Caenorhabditis elegans: one gene and its partners. The protein of the gene in region 2 interacts with the protein of the main gene of each other region in a pairwise test. Each region holds a gene or a part of one and is shown on either strand. Other genes may lie near its edges. The genes, in order: hlh-33, aha-1 and hlh-34.

Region 1 (9,384 bases), on a different chromosome or scaffold from region 2:
ATTTTTTAAATTTTTTCTTCAATTTTCCCATAAAATTGCAGAAAATTGCCAAATTTTCCCAAATTTTTACCTGAATACAGGTCTGAGTCTTGCCGTCCATCTTGCTTGGCGGACGGTAGTCGGCGAAGCACACATCCCAGCAGCGACCGGTGAGCGTGTGCACTTGTTCGGTGAATTTTTGACGCTGCGTCTCCGCCTGCAGTTGCTGGAGGAATCGATTGAGTTGAGGGTCGGCCGAGTCCATTTCCTGTGAGAAAAACTATAGATTTGATGGGAATTTTGAAAAAAATTGCAAAAAAATCGCTGAAAAATGATGAAAACCCAACGAAAATGATGAAAAAATAAAATAAATTAATTTCATCGCAGAGTGCGCAAGCAACAAGAGAAATGCGCCAGCAACCTCTCCTTGCGCATTCACAGTTTTCGGCGGTTTTTCAAATGATAATTAACTTCGAAATGATTTTTCCGGAAATTTCCCAGTATATTTTGCAGTATTTTAAACAAATTCCCGTCGATAATAATCAAATTTTGTAAATAAATATTTATTTTATTCATTTAAACCCATAACTATTGATTTTGAGCACCAAGTGGCCCTTGCGGGAGCATATATTGGGGGAAATTCAAAAACGGGGGGTTTTGAACGAATTGCATCAGGTTTTTCAGCTCCCCTTCTTTCGCTGAAATTCGTTTTTCCAGCAGAAGTCGCTCACTTTGTAGTCGGAGCCAAATCTGGAAAATTGATAGTAGCTGTAGTTGAAAAGTCGATAATTTGAATTAAAACCGTGTTGCAAGTGCGCTCTATTGATAAAAACTAGTTTTTAGCGATGATTTATTGATTTTACCATTAAAAATCGATAATTTTCACATACATCTTGATAACCAGGTGATAACATGTCAAATGGGTTCATTCCAAGTGTCGGAATCGGTTGAATTAGTGACGTGGACGGATGGATTACTGTAGTTGGGCTCAAAGTGCTTCTCGGAGTTGGAATAGTGCTAGTTTGGCTGAAAATTTACATAGTTTTGCAAGTTTTTTCAGAAAAATTAGAAAATTTTTTTTTTTTGAAAAAATCAATAAAATCTTACATGTTAAGAATTTTATTAACATTTTTAACTTTCGCACGCTTAGAGCTTCGGAAAAACTCCGAAATTATGTCACTGACACAGCTGAAACCAGTGCTACAGTACCCCACGTGACGGGACCCAACTTTTGAATAAATTTGTGAAAATTTGAACCCGGGCATGATGGGGGTCATTTGAAAGGTCTTGTTGAGCTAAATTTGAAATTTTCAGTTTTAAGGGTCTCGCATGGATTTTGGAGTAGATTACTGTAGGTTTTAACGTTTTTTTTTGTTAGAAAAAACCTCTTTTTCCCAATTTTCGCCGATTTTTGTGAATTTCCATCCGACTTCTCATCATCCAACGGATAACTTTCCACTATAACATTCATCGATCGTAGTCTCTTCCGTTTTGTGGGTACTGTAGGTCGGCGGGTTACTGTAGGTTTCACATTGGGTACTGTAGACGAGGTGGAGGAGCCCGGCGAGAGGAAGGAGCTTGGGGAGCTCTGGAATTCAACAAATAGTGTTAAATAATTTTTTAGAAAAAAAAGTTCCGAAAAAAAAAATTTCAATTTTTTTTTTCTCAAAAAGTTTGAAATTTCCCGCCAAACTATTAATTCTTATTAATAACTTACCACTTTCACACAATTATCCTCTTTTCGCCTCAAAAGTGCCGCCAAAATCGGGCTTTTCACCTCCAAACTCGACGGCGGGGGCGGTGTCTTCTGAAGGGGCGAAGCTAAAATGGGCGGAGCCTTGGGTACAGTAACCGGGAGAGCTGGAAGCTCATCAGGCACACAGACTAAAACTGTTTCCGTGGGTTTCTGGAAAAATTTTGATTTTTAAAAATTTCTAGGAATTTTTGAAATTTTGGAAAAAAAAATTTTTTCAATTTTTTAACAACTAATTTTTTTGGTTAAAATCACGATTTTGAGCCAAAACTCGTACATTTTCAAATTAAGCACGTCCAGAGCTTCAAAATAAGGCCCATCATGCCTATATTCCGTGAATGATTAAAATTTCGGGTCCCGCCGCGAAAACTTTCTGGGTTACTGTAGTTTGGTTGTTTTTACTGGTTTTACCAGGTTTTGCAGGTTTTCTGGGTTGCTGAGAGTAAAATTGTGATTCTCAGCTAAAAAAAAATTGACAAAATAAGTTTTTTTTGGTAAAAAATTTTGTTTAAAAAAATTTTTTTTCACAAATTTTCGAAAATCTGTAACTTTCTTAGTTTTCACTATTTTTTCTTAATTTTTTTCTTCAAAGTTAGCTCAGTGATCACACTTTTTTGAAAAAAATTGAAAAAGTTAGTTTCATTCAAAACTACAGTAACCCTGCCAGTTTTCGTGGCGGGACCCGGAAAATTCCCCCAAAATTGCGGGAACCTAGGCATGATGGGTGTCATTCAAAAGCTATTTACACGCCAAATTCAAATAAATTAGTTTTAAAGCTAAATTTTTCGAATTGTTCGAATTGAAAAAAACATTTTAATCCCAAACCTCCGCCGATTCCTTTATTCTGCACGTCATTGACTTCGCCATGAAGCTTTTGAGTTGGAGCTCATTGAGCATTTCTTTGGAAGTGAGAAATGACAGTTTGGACGTTGAATCGTAGTCCAGAAAACATCGGATATCTTTTCCAATCATACGTTTCTGAAAAAAAAAATTTCATTAAAAAATTTTTTTTTCTTTTTTAAATATCTCAAAAACTAAAACAGCTATTAAAAAGTTGTTAACTAAAAAAGTGTGTAGAATTTCAAAATGAACATTTTGTTAGTTGAAAACTTTTTGATAACCATGAAATGGGCGGAGTTACGGAAGGCAGCAGCTACGCCCATTTAATGGTTACTAAAAAGTTATCAACTAGCGAAAAATTCAAATCTTTTGCAAAAATTTTGACAAAAATTGTTAGTTTACAACTTATTTCTAGAATTTCTAACTTTAAAAAAATTTAGTTTAACAAAAAAAAAAAAATTTTTCAGAAAAAGTCCAAAAAAAAAAATTTTTTTTGAAACTTTTTTCGAAAACTTTCTAAATTTTTATACTATCTAAAATGTTATAAAACATTTTCCAACCGAAAAAATCCCAATGATTCACCAAATCCCCCCCCCCCCACCCCCGGTCCACCACCAGTTCACCTTGAAACAAGTCAGCTGACACACAGTCCGAAAAAATCGAATTTTTTTTGGGAAAAAGTGACCTTGATAATATTTCCCCGAAAATATGACGACATTTTGTTTACAAGGAACATTTAATTGGGGACGCCTGTATGGGAAAAAATTTGGAAAATTAAAAATTATAAAAAGATGAAATCCCACAAAAAAAATTTTGGGATTTTTTTTTTTCAAAAAAATAAACTCAAATATCTTCAAATCTAGAAAAGCTAGAAAAAAATTGTCAACTGAAAAAATTTGCAGATTTTTTTTCATGGTGAAGCTTTTGTCGGTTGAAAATTTTTTGATAGCCAATAAATGGGCGGAGTTACTGAAGCTTAAAGGTTGCTACCATTTAAGGGTTAGCAAAAAGTTGTCAACTAAAAAAGTGTGCATTTGATTGTCACGCCCGTCTGGGACAAAATTTGGAAAATTTTACAAAATTAAATTCCAAAAAAAATGTTTTGAGAATTTTTTTTCCCATTTTTTCTAATAAGCCTATGCCTAAGCCCAAGCCTAAGCCTAGGCCTAATCCTAAACCTAAGCCTAAGCCTACGCTTAAGCCTAAGCCTAAGCCTAAGCCTGAGCCTAAGCCTAATCCCAAAAAAATGTTTGAAGCCTAAGCCTAAGCCTACGCCTAAGCCTACACCTAAGCCTAACAATTATTTTCAGAGGCCTGTAACTCTGCCCATTTAATGGCTTTTTGAATTTTTTTTTAAATCGAAAAAAAATCAATAAAACAAACTTTTTCAATATCAAAAACTGCCTGATGGTCTCCCTTAATATCCACGACAATAAAATTGTTCAGAAAAACCATAAAACAGTTGGTCAGGCTGAAAATATCCTGGACGAGCGGGTCGGAGAGCAGCGGTGGTTCTGGAAAATGGAGGAAATTGAAATTGACTGAAAATTCCGAAAATTTCGAGATTTTCAGCTTAATGGCTTTCAAATTTGAGTTTAGCTCAATGATTGCTTTAAAATGACACCCAACATGCCTTGGTTTGAAGGTAATTTGAAATTTTGGGTCCCGCCACGAAACGGATCAGGGTTACTGTAATAGGTTGAATTTATATTTTTCTCGGGAGGAAATAGAGTTGTTTTACCGAGTTTTAGAGTAAAAAACAAAGAAAAAAGCTTTGAAAATCGAAAATTTAGGAAAAAAATTTGCAAAAAAAAAAGAAAAAATTTTCGAAATTTTTTTTCAAATTTTTTTCCAAATTTTTTCAAAATTAAAAAAAAATTCCAAATTAGAATATTATTACTAATTTGAATCTGTAGACTCACTATAATCACTATTCCGAATAATATCAACAGTACTCCCAATGATAAAGCATTTGTCCAGCTGACGAGGCTTCTGATCCACTCTTCGCAGCTTATGAGCCCGAATATCTTCGGGCAAAAGTGTCGACATTTCACAAATCACTTCATTCATCTCTTCCCTTCGTCGTTTTTCATGCTTACTTCGTGTTTCTCGCTTTTGAATAGTTTCTTTCCGAGTTCGCGGCTTTTTGCAGCTCTGCGGGGAGTCGGACATTCTGAAAAATGTACTATTAAATTTTAAAAGCTTATATCTCGGTTAATATTAAAGGTAGGGAGAAATGTTAAACAACAAAGTTATAGAGAAAAACATGATGAACATTTTGTCAGTTTACAACCTTTGGCTCAATATTAACCGAGTTATGGGCTGTCAAAGTTAGGAAAGGTCGATGCAACATGTCTAACTCTAACTTTGACGGCTAGTATCTCTGTTAATTTTGGAGATATGGAAAAGTGCTCAACTACAAAGTTATAGAGAAGTTCATAATGAACATTTTATTAGTTATCGATTTTTTGATAAAAACAATGACAACTGAGATATAAGCTGTCCAAGTTTTTGATCGATGCACCATGTCCAGTTCAACCTTTGAAAGCATATATCTGTTGAGGATATCAATAAATTTATATTAATAAAAGTATATACATAACCAAATTGTAATAAAAATTAAATTTTCTGATGAAAAGACATTTTTTTGAACTTTTTAAATTTTTTTCAAGGATTAAAAAAAAATTTCAAAAAAGTTTAAAAAAAAATTTTGGTGAAAATTCAAATTTTCTAACTTGACAAATATGTACTTTTCATTGTTTTTTTAAAAAAATTTTATTGTAAAAAATGTGTTATTGCCCTAAAGTTTCAGAAAACCCATTTAAATTTTAAATTTTTGAAAAATTTACTGAAAAATGAAATTTCTTCGGTAAAACTGTAGTATCTCAAAGAATAATTGTGCAAATTGCTTGACATTTTGTCAGAATTAGCGTTAAATATATTTTTATTTTTCTTTCAGAAAATATCAAATTTTTGATTTAAACTTTTGGAAAATGCAAAAAAAAAAAATTTAAAAATTAAAAAAAAAAATTTTCAACATTTTTATTTTCTCAATTAAAACCTAAATTTCTCAAAAACTACCAAATGAATTTTGGTGAAATTTTACCAAAATTTGCGTTAAAACTTTATCTTTCAGGCAATTTACTTTAAAATTTGACAGTTCATTTGAGTCCAAAGTTATAAGACCTCAAAGTAAGCCTACGTACAAAAATTATTTACCGAGTTGTATAAAACTTTTGTCAAAAAAAAAAATTTAGAAAAAATCGGAAAAGTGATCAGATGGCAAAAATGAATGGTCTCCGCCGTCTTCATCGCCCCCAACACTCGAAATTGCCGCATTTCTGCGTCTCTTTGATTGTGTGTACTCTCTCGTGTGCCTCGGAATAAGTTGTGTGTGTGGGGGCAGCTGGTTAGGGGAGCGTTTTTTGTATGGCAGAAAGGGACTTTCAAGGTCACTTTCTTCATTTTTCTCCCTCTACGGCTTTCATTTCTGGTTACCCCGGCGGGGAAAACAATATTTTGTAAAAAAAAAATTTTTTTTTTGGAAAATTTTTTTCCGAAAAATCAATTTTTTTTTTGGAAAACCAACTTCAAAAACGAAATCCTCGCATAATTTCCCACTATTCACATTTTTTGCCGAGTCTCTAGCTCAACTTTTGATTTTCTCTGAGTACGGTAGCGCCAAAAGTACGCAAACACCGCCGCAGCTCCTACGACAAAATGCACAGCTTCTCAGGATTTGGTAGCTGAGCTTTGGAAATTGGGTTTCCGGAGTGAAAAGAGACGTAGAATTCATATTATTGATCGAAAATTTACAGTTTTGAATGAAAACCGAAAAAAAACTACACAAAAAGCTTCAAAACGTTCTATTTCGCCCACAATTATCAAATTTCAAGTAAAATTTCCAAGAAATTCGAATTTTCCTGCATTTTTTACCTCTTAAACCATTTTTCCCGATCTTCTAGCTCAAAATTTGATTTTCTCGGGGTAATGCACAACTTTCCAAATTTCAATGTTCAGGCTCCAAAAATCGGGCCCCCGAAAAAATTGAATTTCTTCGAAATATCGATTTTTCTCGTAATTTTTCGAAAATTTCATTGTCAAATTTGAATTTCCCGCCATTTTTCACCCGGGGAACCTATTTTCTAGAGTTTTACCTTAAAATTTAGAGTAACTGTGCATTTTGTCGTAAGAAATTTGGTGCTTGCGTATTTTCGGGCCTACAGTACCCCGAAAAATTTAAATTTTAGCTCAGAACCCCGGAAAAAAAGTATTCAGTGGTAAAAAGTGACGGAGAATCCGAATTTAACAATGAAAATCTTCAAAAATCAATAAAAATCCCGGAAAAAATCAATTTCTTAAAAATATTGATTTTTCTGTGATTTTTTTGAAAATATTGCTGTCAAATTTGAATTTCCCGTCATTTTTTAGCTCGGGGTCCCATTTTCTAGGGCTTTAACTCGGAATGTAAAGAAACTGTGCATTTTGTCGTAAGAAATTCGGTGTTTGCGTATTTTTGGTGCTACCGTACCCCAAAGAACTCAAAATTTTAGCTAGAAACCCAGAAAACCACGATTTAGAGGTAAAAAGTTACGGAGAATTCGAATTTGCAACTTAAAATTCTCCATAATCGTGGTGAGACCCAAGGAAATTCAAATTTTTGCGAATTAATAATAATTTATTACAAAAAAAGTCGTGGGGTCGAGATATGTATTGTATAGAAATCGCGAGAGATCACAAAAATGACACAAAAATCGATAATTTTCAGGAAAAAGTGGAAAATTGTGGAAAAATTGGGTAAAACGTTGATAAAAATGGCTCAGGGGGGGGGGGGGGAATGGAAACATTTTTGTACAATTATTAATACATTCGTTTTTTTTTTCGGGAAAAACTTTGAAAAATCGTTGAAAAAAAAAATCAATAAAATATTGTTTTTTTGGCATTTTTTAATACAATGTAAAAAATTGGGAAATATTACAATCGCAGGGGGAAAATCGATGAAAAATGTCGTAAAATTATTGATTTTTGGGAGATTTTTCAAGAGAAATTAATAAATTATCGATTTTTTCGATTTTTCGGCGGCGGGAAAAATCAATAAGTGTAGATTCTGCGCGACGGGTCGTGACTTCGAATGACACGAATCTCGAATCCTCCAATATTTTTGACAATATCCGGCAGGTGCTGCCCGTCAGTTGTCGGCTGCTTCTGTTGCTGCTGCTCGACGGCTTCCAGCGGAGCCTCGGGCTCGGGCTCTTGCTCCACCGAATTCCAGCGCGGTTTTTTTGCCGGAATTTGTTGTGCGGCGGTCGCCTGATTCTCCAGATTCTCCACATTATCAACGTCGCTCCAGTGAGCTTGTGGAGATTGCTTGCGTTTGCGGGAATTCTGGAAAAAAATTGTAAATTTTCGGGGAAATTATTGATTTTTGGAGATTTTTACTGCTAAATTCGGATTCTCCGTAACTTTTTACCTCTAAATCGTGGTTTTCTGGGTTTCTAGCTAAAATTTTGAATTCTTTGGGGTACGGTAGCACCAAAAATACGCAAACACCGAATTTCTTACGACAAAATGCACAGTTTCTTTACATTCCGAGTTAAAGCCCTAGAAAATAGAATCCCGGGGTAAAAAATGACGGGAAATTCAAATTTGACAGCAATATTTTCAAAAAAATCACAGAAAAATCAATATTTTTAAGAAATTGATTTTTTCCGGGATTTTTATTGATTTTTGAAGATTTTCATTGTTAAATTCGGATTCTCCGTCACTTGTTACCACTGAATACTTTTTTTCCGGGGTTCTGAGCTAAAATTTAAATTTTTCGGGGTACTGTAGGCCCGAAAATACGCAAGCACCAAATTTCTTACGACAAAATGCACAGTTACTTTAAATTTTAAGGTAAAACTCTAGAAAATAGGTTCCCGGGGTGAAAAATGGCGGGAAATTCAAATTTGACAATGAAATTTTCGAAAAATTACGAGAAAAATCATTGATATTTTGAAGAAATTCAATTTTTCAGGATTTTTATTGATTTTCAGAAATTTTCACTATCAAATTCGGATTCTCCGTCACTTTTCACTCCGAAATCCTGGTTTCCCGTGCTGCTAGCTCAAAATTTCAATTTTCGGGGTACTGTAGCCCCGAAAATACGCAAACACGGAGGATCTTACGAAAAAATGCACAATTTCTTTAATATTTGTGGTAAAGCTCTAGAAAACAGGATCCGGGTGTGAAAAATGACGGGAAATTCGAATTTCTTAGTGGAACTTTCAGGAAATTTCATTTAGCTACAGTAATCCAAGGAATTTTCGTGGTGAGACCCAAAATCCTGAATGTTCTCCAAACTTAGTCGATATGGGGCTCATTTTAAAGCTCTCAGCGAGCTAAACACCGACTTTTACAGCTAAAAACTCTAAAAATCTGAAAATTTTCAAGTTCCGAACCTGGTTAAGCTGCTGTTGCTCGATGAGCACTTGCTGAACTTGTTGGAGCTCCGATTGAGCATGCTGCTGCTGGTGCTGGTGATGCTGCTGAGCCAATTGCTCCTGTTGTTGGAGCCGGACAGTCTGGAAATAAAATTTTCAGAAAAAATTTGGAAAAAACATTTTTTTTTTGAATTTTTTACAAAAAATTTAATTTTTCTGAAAGCTCTCTCGGCGAGCTTCATCCCTCAAAATTAAAAGAAAATTCTCACATTCTGAGCCTGAATTCTCTGGCGAACTTGGTGAGCCGCAGACCGTCGCCGGCTCGGCATCGGCTGTTGCATCTGTTGCCGCTGCTGTTGTTGGAGGTGGTGAGCCTGCTGAATTTGATGC
Region 2 (8,332 bases):
CCCAATCCAGGAATGAAAACTATTGCTTCGCCGTTTAGGTTTTCAGCTTCTCTGGGCCTCACTGTCACCGTGTACACTTCGCCTCTTTTGAATCTGACCTGAAAAAGACACTCCAGACCAGAGAAACAAATATTTCTCACTCACCGGGACATATTTGGCTTCGTATGATACTTCGCAAGACTGAAACAGACGTCCCTCGACAATTTTTAGTTGTTCCTTCGAGTCATCCGTGAATGTCATCCAATTCATTCTGAAAACCGTAGTTTTATTTGAACAGCAAGCATCAAATATTAATAAATACTTACATTGTTGTTAATGCAGTTTTTGTCGTTGCAATTGCCATCTGAAAACAAAAAAATGTTGGCTAGAGTGTGGCTAAATAGGGGGCAAAGTGCAATAACAAGAAGAAATCACAGGAAAAAAATTTTGTCCTCGTGTACGACACGGCCGTGGCCTAGAATTCTCGGAGCTTCAAATGGAATTTATTAATTTTTTGGCTCGATATTTTCAACAAAATCTCTTGATATGTGATGATTAGTCACGTTTTTTCTATTTTAATGAAATTTGTTTGTGTAAATAACCTCGCGAAACCTGTTTTCGCATCAGCTGTCGTCGCTTTTGAACAAGACGCTCGTATTCTTTTCATTAGAGCGCCGTTGCCTTTCTTCATTTTGCCAATTTAACAGTACGATTTCTTATATTCTATTTCAATATTATACTTAAAGTTTATTTTATCAAACTCTCATTTTTAGATGCCATCGGTTCCACGTGTTGATCGCCTCAAACCCATTTACACAGCCGCAAAAGCTCTGAACTTTGGATGGCGATTTTCTGATTTTCTGAAAATTCCGGCTTATAATGGAATCTCGCGTTACACCAACCAACTTCATCGCATCACTGTCAGGTTTTGCAAACAAAGTGAATCCAGTGTCGGAGTTCGCAATTTTATTGAGAATCAACTCGTTGAAATCGGTAAGAATTTCTGTCTACGATCAAAAAATTAATAGAGAATCTAAATTAAAAGCTTCATTTTTTTTTAAATAAAGAAGGAAATCCGTTTTTTTCAGGCCGTAAAAACCCATCAGTTGTGATCTATGCCCAGCCTGTGCGAAACTCGAACCCATCAATCCGCGCAGAATATGGAAATGGTCGGACTCTACAGATCAATGCAAAAAACATGACACAAGACGAAGTGAGCAAAGATGTGCATTTGTTATTCTCAAGAAGCGGCGAACCAGTTGTGAAGCTAGAGAGTCGTCAAAGTGCATTGGTTCCTTCTATTCAAGGTCAATGGACACCGATAACATGGCTTCCAACAGAAATGAACACGGAACAACTTCCAGCGAAACAGTTCTCAAAGCACAAGTCAACGGCAACGTCGGCGACGGAATATATTCTTCAAAATCCACCAAAATAAGCAATAATCCGTTATTTTATAGTTGTTTTCATTTATTCGTTGTTTTCTTTTGATTTTTTGACAATATTATTAGTAATAAAATTTAGTGTTCAGAATGAGTTGAATAACTCGTTGGTCCAGAAAAAAGGAAAAATACTGAACAGAAAAGTTAAGGAAATTGAAAAAAAAAGAAAACTTTTCAAGAAGTAGATAGAAATGAGAATCATTGGAATAGGCTTCAAAAAAAAATATATCAATTTCTAGAAATTATAATCACTGGTTATATCCATTCATCGGGTCCCATTGCCATTGTGCCTGTGGTGCTCCTTGAGCTTCAGGTCTCCATCCTCCACTACTCGATTGTCCGTAATCCACAGCACTTGGAGCACCGCCGAGCTCTCCAAATTCACTGGCTTGAGGTTGAGGAACAGTTGGTGCAGTGACCCAATTATTAATATCTTCTTGTGGAGCAATTTGATGTGTTGCAACCACGTATTCGAACTGTTCCGAGTATGGATTCATGAATTTGTATGCAGACACAGTACATGGAATGTAATCAGTACTGGTACGTACTCGAATATTTATTCTCATTGGTTGGTCACTGAAATGGAAATGTTTTTATTTAGTTAACATGGAATCTACTGCTATAGGTTTAAAGGAAAGTACATTTTTCGAAATGGTCCCGCCACGAATATTATTCGTGAAAAATTCGCCTGAAAATATTCCCTAGAACCGCGAAAATTACGATTAAAAAACTACGGTACCTGGTCTCGACAAGACAAATGTTTGTTTAATGAAAAAGGTTTGAGCCTTTAAAAAGTACGGTAATTTTAATGTTTCTACTCAATTCTCTTTGGTTTTTCATAGTTTTTTTGATAAAGGTATATTTATTTGTTTAAAAACTCACATAAGACAACATGTATTTTTACAAATAGTGAGAAAAACTATGAAAAATCGACGAAAATTCTACAGAGTAGAAAGTTTGAAATTGCAGTACTCTTTAAAACCGCACACACTCTTGAAAGCAGGTAATATGAAATTTGATGGACGCAAATTGTTCAAAAAGGTTTTTTTACGAAAACTTACCTTAAAAGAGCCACAAATGAGTCTTGAAGGGTCTTCTCATCTGCTGGATGTGCAAGATTCCACCAATATCTTCCGATAAGTTGATCACTGCTCAAACCAATTAAATCACTAACCCTCGCATCAATAAATGTCATTTTTCCATCTTCCGAAACACGAACCGAAAATTGATTTGTTGATGTTGGATCAGCACAGACCGGCATTGATGCTACCTTTAATTAAATCACGTTTATCTGCATCGTAAACTATTCTAACCTGTAACCTGGCAATTGCCACCAAACAAGATGAAGCTGGAGCATTAATTCCCTGTGGTGGAGCATTTTTGATATATCCTGTGCAATGCATCACAACGTAATTTTGACCAGCATGTTGGAATAAGGGACGGCGATTTCTGAGACGATGAAGTGGTTCAAGGGCTCCGACACGCATTCGACAGATGAATCCACGACGACATGACATATGAACTCGTGTTGATGCTCCTTCGCGTTTCACTGATCCTAAAATTCAATGATTTTGATAGTTAACTTGAAGTGGGTTACTGTACTTTTAAAGATACACACATTTTAAGAGCGAGCAGATACCTTTTTGACGGAAAATCACAAATTTTGGGCATGCCAAAATCTAGTGAAATTACAATAGATGCTTTTAAAACAAATACTACTTAATTCGATTGACTGAAGTAAGTGGTTATTACTGTAAACGGTTCCAAGTTATATGACTACTTTGGAAAAAATTCAAAAAATCCTTGAATCTCTCCTCTTCTCTTTTTATGATAACTCACCAGATTTCAAATCGAGAACTTTATTAACTGATACTTCACTTCCACACAATTGATCTCTAATTTTATCTTGATCATCTGGATGTATGAGTTCATTCAAATTTCTTTGAAGCCAATCTTCCTAAAAATTAATATTTATATTTCAATAATGAAAGATTCAAATCTTGCTCACCTGCTTCAAATTAAGTACGGGAGTAATTGAATCAGCAACATATAACACTTTTCCAGTCTGACAACAAACAACAAAAAGAAATCCATTCGCTGCTTCTAGAATCAAATGTTTCAATTCTTGATCCGTAAGAAATGATGGTTTATATGAAGTTTCATCTTGTGCCGTATGTCCTCGAATTCCTTTCATGTGTGATACTGCCATTCGGAGAATCGTTAGTTTATCGGGTTTACGTCCAAGTGATGCACATTGTGGAACCATTTCGGCTAATTCATTTATGTAATGAGTCATTTTGTTACGGCGACGTCGCTCAATCTAAAACGTTTTCAGTTGAATTTGAAGCAAGAAATTTTACTTTTTCCATATTGAATTTTGATTTCAGAAATTTCAACCAAAGGGTTGGTAAATTGCCAAATTTTTAAACTTTTAGTTTTTAGTTTAATACTTGCAGAAAGAAAGATTTTTCGGTCGGCTTCCGAATTCATGATATGTGAAACTCTAAAATTGTGCCTATTTGAATTTTAATTATACAGTTTGAAATAATTTTTTAAAAAGTTCTCTATGACTCGATAATTTTAGCACCATATGTAGAAATTTTTAAAAAATTTAAAATCGCTGGAAATTTAATTTTGAGTTGTGTTACGTCCCATGAAAATTGCAGTTTTACAGGTCAAACAATACCCAGAGTATCGTACTTTTTATTTGAATTAATGAAACATAGCAGTATAAATTTTCAGATATAAATGTTCAAAACCTCACCTCTGAATGATTTTCCCTTGCAAATCTTTCCTTATTCTCTCCCATTTCATCTTCCATTCGAGCATATTTTCCAGATGGCATGCCCATATCTTCATCTTCCATTGCGAAGCTGAAATTATTTAAAATTTAAAATATAAGTTTAGAAGTATCCAAAAATAACCAGCAATAAGCATATCTGAATAGTTGTATTGCATAGAAAACCAATTTTAATCAACACATTTTTTGCAATAAAAAGCCATAACTTAAGCTAATAATGTCACACTATGCCTTACCTCGTCGCCGATTGCCATGGATCCATAAATATATCCTGAGCCATTCTGAAAACTATAAAGAAAAGTTTTTTTCTGTCGAAAAGAAGAATTGAAAGACACCAAAACAAATTATAGGCAATTGAATATATTAGGTGAAGAATTTAAAAAATTGAATTTTAAAACAAGTTGTGCAATGGATCGAGAGTAAATCAATTAATTATGTAAATCGTCGCTTCCTTGCCCGATGAGAGAGAAAGTATGGAAAATCTAGAGTAAGATGCGTCAGAGAATACTCTCCATTGTAGACACAATGTCTTTAAACACGCGATACGTATGTCTGAGTCTCCATTTTTCATATACTCTCACCAATCAATATTTCTTTAGGATGATGGGGGATGGGAAAGGAATGGTGTGAGAGAGAGGGGCGTGCGCGCTTTTTCTATTTGTCCAGTACCTCGTCACCAAACACCGTTGAGGACCGTATTATTACTATGAAGAGAGAAAGAAATGAAAAGAAATTGAGAGTGACCCCCCTACATATGGTCACTGGATATTTGAGAGAAGAAGCAACAGATGGAATTAGAGGGGAGAGACTTTTTAAGGATGATGAAGGAGGAAACGGAAAAAAATTAGAAGATGATGGATGGATGATAGGGCATATAAAAATGTGATAGTGATAATGCAAGAAAATAAGTGAAATAATGCACGCATTTATAGTGTGACCAGTATTTGAAAGTTGAATGACCACAATTGATTGATCAAATTTTTTTAACTTTCACACTCTCAATTAAAATCATTTTTTATTTGAAAGAAAACCTTTTGCATAGGCCCCTATAAAACATTCTGCTACATGCCTCGCACTTTGAACTAAAAAATATCGACCTGAAAACTGTTCCTTGGATGTTTCCAACTTTCGAGTTTTGTGAAATTGTTCCAAAAGTGTAGTTTTTTATCAAGTTAAAGTTTTCTTTCTAAAAAAACACACATAATTCAAGCTTTCAGAATGTTTGTTTCAGATCGACTTTTCCACTCGGCCTTTTGTAGATTTAGAATGCACTAGAGTTTGGCATAAGTTTGATTTTATTCATGTCAAACTTTGACCCAAACCTTTCTTGTATTGTTTTAAACTGTTGAAAAAAATATTGTCGCTGCCAAATTCTGGCAAAAAGTTGGTGTACAATGCCAAGCAGTCCAAGGCGCTCTTCGCCAGAGGAGCCATAGGACGAAACTCCATATTCAAATTAGTTATGCTTCTAAAAAGACAGATATAGTGACATATATTTCAATTTGGAGACCCCATTCAGAACTGTTCATATATTACAAAATTGATAATCTAAATATCAGTGCTCTTTTCTCGAATTCAACTCGTCTGCTCAACCGATTCATTCGTCAAAGTTGTATCTCCAGATTTCACGGATTGTAAGTCGACTGCAGAAAGACACAAAATCTTCTTTTTATTGAATCTCACCGTTTTCTCGTTGAATAACTAAAATCATTATGTTAGGTGACAATCATAAGGTTCAGATAAACTTACCACATTAAAGTACGGATGAGTGAGAATCTCAATTCCAGAGAGACGCTTGTTCGGATTGTAGACAAGGATTTGAAGAAGAACTGCTACTGACTCTTTCATGTCATCTTGCTCAATTTTCTGAAAAACAACTCTCTGGAGGTTTTCTTAAAGCTTTTTGCCTGAAACCGATTTGATTCCACATGCGCCTTATCGTTTGGTGCCTACTCTGTGCCTATCTTGTACCTAGCTTGTGCCGCGCAATCAATAACAGACTAGTGGTACATCAAATCGGTTTCAAATGTTAAGATGGTTCCGAATGTAGCACTTAAAACCGGTCGCTGATGAAAATTGTCTGAATTTTCAATGAACTCGTTCTTCGTATAATAATTACCGTATTATAGACTGTAGTTCTCCGATCCTTCTGATAAATGACTGTCTGTGTGTAGAGATAAGTCAAGTCGGCAGTTGTCTTCGATTTATTATATTCATATGAATCCAAAACTTCCTGCAACTTCGTGCTGCTCACTTTCATTGATGACACATCAGAATCTGTTGGGTATCCGAGCATATCGAAAATGACCTCCGCTTGATTGTTCGATGATTTTCCAGCCAAGATGATTCCGCCTTTCAGTAGCTCTCCAAATACACATCCGCAAGACCACGTGTCTGAAAAATTATATTCTAGCAAAAAACTCCAAGACTTGCTCAAGGTAACTAATAGTAAACTTGGGCTTAGTAAGAATTCACCAACAAGCATCTAACAAAATTATCAGATAATTTGAATATTTTTTCAGAATTTTCTTACCAATTTTGCATCCATAGTACTTGGAGCCTAAAATCAATTCTGGTGGTCTGTAGTATCTCGTGACATGATAACTTTGCTGTGGTGATTTTGTAGATTGGATGGACGATGAGCCAAAATCAGATATTTTCAGCAGACCTGTTTCGGCGTTGTAGAGTAGATTTTGAGGCTTGATGTCTCTGTGACAAATGTCAGCCTTAAAATTCCAGATTGAATGGGAGACATATTCAAAAAAATAACTGCACCTTCTCCAAATGTGCTTGTCCTCGAAACAATTGCCAGACAATAAGCTTCACTTCTACAATGTCAATCCGGCGGTTTTTGTCTTTTAGAAACTGATAAAGATTCAATGGAATGTACTCGAAAATCAGAGCAAGACAAATACGACCTGAATATTTGTAATTTGCTTATTATTCTATCAACTAAGCGTGCTCACACCTTCATGTTGTTTCTGATAGCTGTACAACAAACGAACAATATTCCGATGCTTCAACTTTCCCAACTGTCCAAGAATCTTCACTTCCATTGGACATCCTTTGTGACGCGGCCAGGTCTTTTTGATCACAATATCGATTTCCTGATTGGATTCTGTTTGAGCAACTCCACGGTAGACATTGGAAAATGCTCCAGTAGCAAACAGATTCATATGATGAAGATTGAGATGCATCTGAAAAATTCAAATGTTCCGATGAAGTTGCAAGAAACTTGAAGCTCTTTCACACTTTTTTTGTAATGTTTCCATCAATAGGTTAATTGTACTGAGGCATTATGCGCACATGACACAGTTACCTACCGACTACTAGACAGTTTTTGATTTTCAAAAATTCAATGTTCCTAATATGATCATTTGATCACAAGATCTCGGCATTTGCGCATTAACTTGTCCAAATTGTTCAGAAGTTGGCAAACGAGTAATTGGGCAAGACTTGGCCCAATCTGTTCCTAGCGTGAAACTTGACTTATGTCGTTTTGGCAGTGATTCTCAAGGATCGGATCAAACTTGGGCCATCAAGTCTTGCCAAACTTTTGCTCAAGCTTTGCCAATTTCCAAGCCAAATGCATATTTTAATATCCAACTTGGGCAAGGAGTTGTCACGCAAACTGTAGACAAGAAGCTGTCAAATTCCCGTCAAATACATCTTTTCCATCCTCCAATCGTTGAGCGACAATTTCATCAGTAGTTCTATAGATGTTTGGCATTTTTTTTTATTTCGATTCTTCTCAAGCCCTTTTGCAAGCAAATTGTGAGCTCGTATTCAAATTGAGTTTTTAACAAGTAGAAATGAATTGTTCAGAATTGAAACTATTGAATCAAAATTTTAACGAGCATCAGTGTTTGGCGTGTCCCACTTTTTTTGTTGGCCTCTGCAAACTTGTTGATTGGTCGATTCTGAAATAATAAAAAATAAAATATAAAAAATATAAAAACCCTGAAGATTCTACGTTAGATAAGAAAATAAAAAAACAATCACAAACTCGTCGATAAATTCAGTTTCGAATTTACGAAGGACGAATTCATCCCTTTTCATCTTCAGACACGTGTCACATTGACTGGTGAGTTTTAAATTTCAGATGCTTGCT
Region 3 (6,497 bases), on a different chromosome or scaffold from region 2:
GCATAAAGTTCCACAAGAAGACCAGACTGCATGTTTATCCGGGCATACACATCGCTGAGGATTCACTCCCAGGGAGACGATCATTGGTCGACAGCATCTTTGTTCCATTGGACAATCCATATCAGTATTACATCCACGACCGCCGACATCAAAAGTTGTAGCAGGGCATTCGGATTGTGATACAGTTGGCTTGAGTGCAAGAAGATCAGAATCGGATGAAAATGGACGACCACGTGTTTCATGTACTTCAGCTATTACGGTGGTGGCTGGAGGGACTGATGCTTCTGAAAAATCATTAAGTTTCACTTTGATTTGCAGTACTAACATCAAAGTTTTTTATAAACTGGCTCTGTGAGTTTACCTGTAGTAGTGGTTGTTGTAGATTCTTCTGTAGTTGTTTCTTCCTCGGGAGGACATTCTTCTATTTTAATGCATTTAGAAGTGTGCCACGTGGCAGAGTTTTCAAATACCAAGCCATTCTTACAGAAACAACCAGTCTGGCATGGAGCACAATTTTTTGGATGACGATTATCACATCCCATTGGGCATGAACTACCACATGTCATGAATTCCTTTGTCGGATCCTCACATCCTCTGTCACATTCTGCAGGAAGAACACATCTTGATGTTGGATCATTTGGATGAAGGAGCACGTATGGCTGACGACAAACACATCCTGAAAAACATTGTCCGGAGCCACATCGACCCAGAGGGTTCGCACATGATCTTGAGCAATGCAGAGCTCCGCATTGACTCCATTCTTTTCTTGGATCCGGGCAAGATTGGGATGCTGGAACGCTTGCAGTTGATGGTGGAATTGATTTTCTAGAACATAATTGAGGGAGAATGCATGTGGAGTTTGGATCCTTCGAATCGGCAAGAACATACGGAAGTCGACAGAAACATCCAGGTTCACAAGAAAGAGCACAGTCAATTGACGCTGCTTGTGAAAGAGGTCGATCACAAGATGCAGGGCACTTGCTTCCACAGCTTTGATAGTTTTTCAATGGATGTTCACAGTGTTGCTCGGGAATAAGAGTGGGAAGTTTTTGTTGTGAAGTTGTTAATCCACGAGTGGTAGTAGTGAATACGGGAGATGGTGTAGCTCTTGGGGAGGTTGGATATTGAATATTCGTATTTCCAAAACTTCCAATCATTCCAGGATTACGCTGCACAAATTGCTCAACTATTTCTGGCGCTGGTGTTGGGATTTCGGGGCACGAAGATGGAAGAATGCATCTGAAAATAGACCAATTTTAAAGTTTCTGTTACGGTTTAATCGAGTTTTGTCCATTCGGTTCAAAATCTTGTTAAAGTTTTCCCAATGTGAATATTTTTCTTGTAAAAGTAATATAAAAATGGAGAATTTTTTTTAAATCAGCAGCCACTTCCGAGTTTAAGCTTAACCTACCTTGAATGAAGAGGATCGTCTGCATTTTCAAGGATAAACGGAATTTTACAGAAGCATCCAGTCACACATCTCTCATTACATCTCGGTTGATTTCTTGTAGCACAACTAATTGGGCATGCACTTCCACATGTCTGATATTGCCTTTTCTCGTCTGCACAACGAATCGTCAGATCATAAGCTTGACACAAGCCTCGCGGAACACATGCTGAACGGGGAGAGCTGTCACGTCGGATGTATCCTAGCAATGATGAAGAGTTAATATATAGTTAACTATCGAAAGTTACCTGGTAGGCAAATGCATCCAGGTTGGCATCCGGGAGCCGGGCAAGCTGGTGTTGAAGGATCTTGACATGATGGTTGACAAGAGGAGAAACATGCTGAATATTGCTCATTCGCGCCACATACCATGGCAATCGTTGGGTTTACTGAAAAAATGTAAAATGTTATAAGAAGCTAGTTTAGGCAGACAACAGACTTTCATTAGAAATAGGTTCGTTCATTATTTTTGTTAATGCTGGTAAGCAAGCGTGATAGTTAGAGTTAGTTATGGAACCGGGGCAACATTTAGATCCCCGTTCACATTCAGAATCACAGAAGCAACGGGTTAGTGTGGTTATAGAAGTGTTCAACGGGAGGGGGCATTCTCCAGGTGATGTACTCTTGCATGTCTGTAAATATGTCTTGAATTTTTGAAATTAGAGAACTGATTGATACCTCTTCCCTTTCTTTTTGTTCTCTTAATAATGCAGCAGCTTTCAATGCAAGATTTTCTTGTTTTCTTCTCACAGTTTCACATCCCTTTTCGTCTTTGCTTTCTTTTCCGGATAATCTTCTTCCATACCTTGTCACGCACCAACAAACTTCTGTTCCAGCCAAGCATTGTCTGAAATTGGGTTTATTGTAGTCTGATAGTGAGATGTCTGTGATGCTACAAATATTTTTGAGAATATTGGGTATCTTCAGCTAAATTTGAAACTTTGTAACTAATACTGTTCTCACTATGTTCCTATTCAATATCTGAATTCCCTTTTACCTTCTTCTCCATGCCAATCCACTTTCCTCACATAGTGGTATCGCTTGTCCAACAATTTCCAACGATCTAAGCTCATCGAGAAGCTCTCGTCTCCTCATTGCACATGCTACAAAAATTTGAAATAGACAAAGAGGGGAGAATTCAATTGTATGTCATATTGTGTAATTAGTTTGGCTCTCGAATGGCATGATCTGCATGCTAATTATATATTATGAGAGCTTGTACATATTGGGTCATTCATTTATTTTTTATATGTATTTTATTTGTCGCTTGACTTATAACCACTTGAGAAATGGAGACTAATCTTTCTGAAGAAAAACGTAAGCAATTTTAGAAAATATGTTTTGAAAGAAACAAATCAATATTTTAGAAAAACCGTCAAAATCACAAGCCCAGCAGAGAAGACAAATGGAAAATTATGAATTCTCACAGCTAGCCAATGAACTTCCATTGGCAAGAGCAATTTCTGGACAGCATATTGATAAAACAACGATGGTTAGATTAGCAACTGCTTATATCAAACTTCACAATATATTTGGGCAATCTCAAAGAGCCTACAGTTCAGCTGACTATTATTATGGAAGTGACTCTTTATGGACTAACAATCATTTAGATGTAAGGATGGTTTTTTACCGTTTTTTTTTTAATTTCAATTTCAGCTACTAGATGGATTCTTTGTGATACTGGACAGGCGCGGAGATGTACTTTACATAAGTGAAACTATTAGTATTTACTTGGGCTTGTCACAAGTTGAAATGACTGGCAACGCGATGGTTGATTATATTCATGAACAGGATATCAATTGCTTTAACTCGGTAACTTTTAAGTTTTTGATTTAACATAATTAAATTCAGGAAAAATATTTTATTATAGTTACAAGTTTTGAACTTTCACAAAAACATCCTGAAATCAAGTATGGAAAGAAGTTTAAGCTTACAGCTGTAGCCTAATTAAGTTGCAATAATTTTTAAAACATTTTTTAAAAATATATATTATTTTTAATATATATTTTTAATTTTTTTTCTGTTTTTTAAAAGCAACTCCTAACTGGAATCATTTTGGAGTCATTTTCGCACAATCTCAGAGAATTTTTTGACTAAATGTAGTAATTTCTCTTTACAGGCCCTTAACTATTGTGACCTTAATTGGCCTCAAATGTGCAACGTACGTGTTAAATCTAGTCTCACAAAGCGAGCAAACAAGGATGCAGTTCGTGCTTCACCTGGATACAAGGTTCTTCGTCTAGAAATTACAATGGGTCCAAATACAAATACTAGAATGATTGCATGTTATCCAATGCCTACTCCAGTTCTTTCTACAGTAACCATTCCTTCTAATTCATTTGTTATCATTACATCCATCGATCTTCATATAACATTTGCTGATGAAAAAGCTCATCAGTTGCTTAATAACCCATTTTACCCAGATTCAAATATCAAAGGAATGTCATTATATTCACTGATTGATATCTCAGATTCTGAAGTTATATCAAAAATGCATTTCGATATTTTCAACCTGGGCGCTTATAAAACCCCGTACTATCGAATGATCTTGAATCAAACAAGTGAAACTTTTTACGTCGAGTCAAATATTTTTCGTCATACTTCGATTTCCTCTAAACAGTTTAATGACTCGATCACATTTGTTTCCTCAATTCTATGACCTCCAACTTTATTTTATTTCTTTTTTTATTACGCTAATTTCAAAGAAGATAAACACTTTGGTTTCAAATTTAAAAAATAAACGCACTTTTACAACATTTTCCCTCGATGCAAAGTTCTTCTTGATGAGTACAATCCTCATCTCTTGAGCACCTTTTTGACCATCTAGATTCATCTGGACATGGCTCATCAGCTGGGGGATCCGATGTGATATTTAATGGTCTTTTTGGTTTAGGACTAGTTGCTGAGAAATAGTGCAGTGTGTTAGATTATGTTAGTAAAAGTATTGATAGTTAATTGTAGGCAAAAAATAAAACAAGATAGAAACTCACGTTCTCGTTGAAGAGAAAATGTTGGCAAAACGTTGGGACAGCAAAATCCATTATCACAGATTTCGCCAATAAAACAGTCATCCTGCATACGGCATCGATAGTATGAATATCTACTGTCTGCACAATGTCGACATGATCCTTCGGCTTCACATAATCCTAAAAAAAATAAGCAGTTAAAACTATCGATTATGTGGTAGGCAGGCACATCTGCAGGTATCATACCTGCGTAACTTTCGTAGTTTTTTGTGAAGTTCGGTTTTTTTTTTTTGATTTTCTTATTTTAGCATTAGTGTGGGTCTTTTTTCTCAGTTTTCGAAACTTTAAACCACAACTGAAATTTTTTGAAAGACATTTTCAAGAGGTCTCATTATGAAATTCAGTTTTGGTATAGTTTTGAGTCTATTAGAAAAATACAACAATTTCTGTAGCCCAGTAAATTTTACGAAACACTCCTGGTGCAGGCATACGTTGCCTTGGAGTCAAAATACACTTACTCAACTGTCCATGAACTTCCTTCCAACTTGACGAAAATATAACAATTAATAGGAGAATACGAAGCATTCCCTAGTATTTTAAAACTTTTTTAGGCTCCTGCTCAAGAGGTCTCACTTTCTTTATTGGCTGACCTACAAATGAAAGTGTGTCATACCCCTTGAAAAAGAAGGAGAACGATAGAAAGAGCAATTATGAAATGAAAAGGTAAAGAGTGAGGGGGGACCCTCCTGTTCTGATTGTCGCCCGTATATCCTATTAAGGCAGATGAGAGGCGGTTATTTTGGCGGAGAACGCAGGTCAGCAGCTATAAATCAAGGGGTTGTTCACGGGAATCGACTCGACAAATTAGTGTTCAAAGCATTTGGGGCCAGGTGTAGAGGTTTGAGTGCCTTTTGACAGACGGTTGGCCGTAGTGGTCCGCGAAATTAATCCAAACGAGAAGAATGATGATGTTGATGAAATAGATGACAGGAAATTGAACTGAATTAGCCATTAAAGTCGATATTTAGGTTGAACTTTTATGGAATTGGATGTAGCTTGGTCAAAAAACACCTTAATACAATTAAAAATTTTACAATTAGTTAGAACTATAGTTTTGAGCAATCTGCTATAAGTTTTACAAGAAAGTGCCCTTTTTGATCGATTTTAGTACATTTTGGCAAAATCCCTACTATCTCTACTTTACCCTCAAATACATATTATCAGAATTGATCAAGTTCTACAAGAAAAAAGAGTTGATCTAACTATTCTGAATCCAACACAAAAAATTAACTAGCATGCTGAAAAACTGCAAAAATGACCACAAAAAATGTAAATCAGCAAAAAACAACTTATTTTCAAGACCAACCACCATGATGGACAAATTGGAAACATTTTCATTGTCAATCACATGTCTCTTCTGCCCATTTTCTCCATTTTCTCTACAATTTCCCGCCCATAACAGTCCCGACCTTGTCGTTGTTGGGCGTTTGTCCAGAGCGTGTCGCATGTCTCATTTTTCCTTCCACCCTGTTTCTCTAAGCTTCATAATCCGACCTTGAGGGGGTCAACTGAAGGCACCTATTACCATCCGCTTCCGTGCTACTAATACAACTACTGCCATTAACACAACAATTGGTGGTACCCTTGCCGGAAATGGACAAGGGGGTATACATTCGAGTAGAAACAGTTTTTTTTCGTTTATTTTAAAATGCCACCGCTCTTTGAAGGACAAATGTTTAAAATTCGTAAAAAAATAAATTCAAAGTGCTTCTAAAATTTTTTTGCATAATTGTCAGGTTCCAACCACAGTCTCAGTGAGCACTGTGGACACATTGCAATTGAGGAACAAGCTCAATGTGTGTTTTTAATGCTTAAAGGTTTCTGATTCAAGGTTTAGACATAAAGCAAACTAATCAGTTTGAAATAGAAAAAGTGAATCTGAAATTTTTAAGTTCATTTTTTCAATATGATTGATGGCTCTTTTATTGCTCCAAGATGATTTTGTTGACTTTTGATTATTGAGTTTTGAAGAGGTGTAGATAACGGTAATGGTAACGATATTGAAAAGTTTATTTTTTAAATAT

Evidence for each region.
Region 1: the proteins of aha-1 (region 2) and hlh-33 interact in a two-hybrid assay, tested with the Caenorhabditis elegans proteins (2 studies listed by BioGRID).
Region 3: the proteins of aha-1 (region 2) and hlh-34 interact in a two-hybrid assay, tested with the Caenorhabditis elegans proteins (one study listed by BioGRID).

What each region holds. Positions count from the first base shown.
Region 1 is NC_003281.10:1,850,753-1,860,136, reverse strand, and holds hlh-33 (BHLH domain-containing protein), read right to left. Parts: upstream 4,746-9,384; 5' UTR 4,745-4,745; coding exon 4,495-4,744; intron 4,087-4,494; coding exon 3,956-4,086; intron 2,711-3,955; coding exon 2,558-2,710; intron 1,886-2,557; coding exon 1,697-1,885; intron 1,568-1,696; coding exon 1,365-1,567; intron 1,006-1,364; coding exon 870-1,005; intron 730-869; coding exon 568-729; 3' UTR 534-567; downstream 1-533. Other genes in the region: ddp-1 (Mitochondrial import inner membrane translocase subunit Tim8), read right to left, coding at 71-244; pqn-82 (Prion-like-(Q/N-rich)-domain-bearing protein), read right to left, coding at 7,664-7,957, 9,013-9,135, 9,264-9,384.
Region 2 is NC_003279.8:10,192,490-10,200,821, forward strand, and holds aha-1 (Aryl hydrocarbon receptor nuclear translocator homolog), read right to left. Parts: upstream 4,509-8,332; 5' UTR 4,502-4,508; coding exon 4,458-4,501; intron 4,295-4,457; coding exon 4,186-4,294; intron 3,742-4,185; coding exon 3,430-3,741; intron 3,379-3,429; coding exon 3,261-3,378; intron 2,977-3,260; coding exon 2,735-2,976; intron 2,692-2,734; coding exon 2,483-2,691; intron 1,998-2,482; coding exon 1,670-1,997; 3' UTR 1,436-1,669; downstream 1-1,435. Other genes in the region: lid-1 (AB hydrolase-1 domain-containing protein), read right to left, coding at 1-98, 145-250, 306-343; mrpl-34 (Large ribosomal subunit protein mL43), read left to right, coding at 753-972, 1,068-1,417; C25A1.15 (Transposase), read left to right, coding at 4,832-5,107; Y106G6E.1 (Protein kinase domain-containing protein), read right to left, coding at 5,797-5,922, 5,971-6,087, 6,341-6,615, 6,755-6,947, 6,997-7,139, 7,190-7,418, 7,889-7,951. UniProt on the Caenorhabditis elegans protein: Transcription factor. Efficient DNA binding requires dimerization with another bHLH protein, such as cky-1 or ahr-1. Regulates transcription of target genes, probably acting in complex with cky-1. Has a role in cellular differentiation.
Region 3 is NC_003283.11:13,703,595-13,710,091, reverse strand, and holds hlh-34 (Helix-loop-helix 34), read left to right. Parts: upstream 1-2,696; 5' UTR 2,697-2,736; coding exon 2,737-2,764; intron 2,765-2,814; coding exon 2,815-3,059; intron 3,060-3,103; coding exon 3,104-3,259; intron 3,260-3,566; coding exon 3,567-4,106; 3' UTR 4,107-4,125; downstream 4,126-6,497. Other genes in the region: T01D3.3 (Thyroglobulin type-1 domain-containing protein), read right to left, coding at 1-284, 362-1,239, 1,412-1,649, 1,696-1,836, 1,887-2,079, 2,126-2,294, 2,445-2,550, 4,194-4,349 and 2 more. UniProt on the Caenorhabditis elegans protein: Transcription factor. Involved in specifying AVH neuron identity, acting in concert with unc-42. Involved in serotonin-mediated feeding behavior, probably acting by modulating expression of genes involved in glutamate signaling.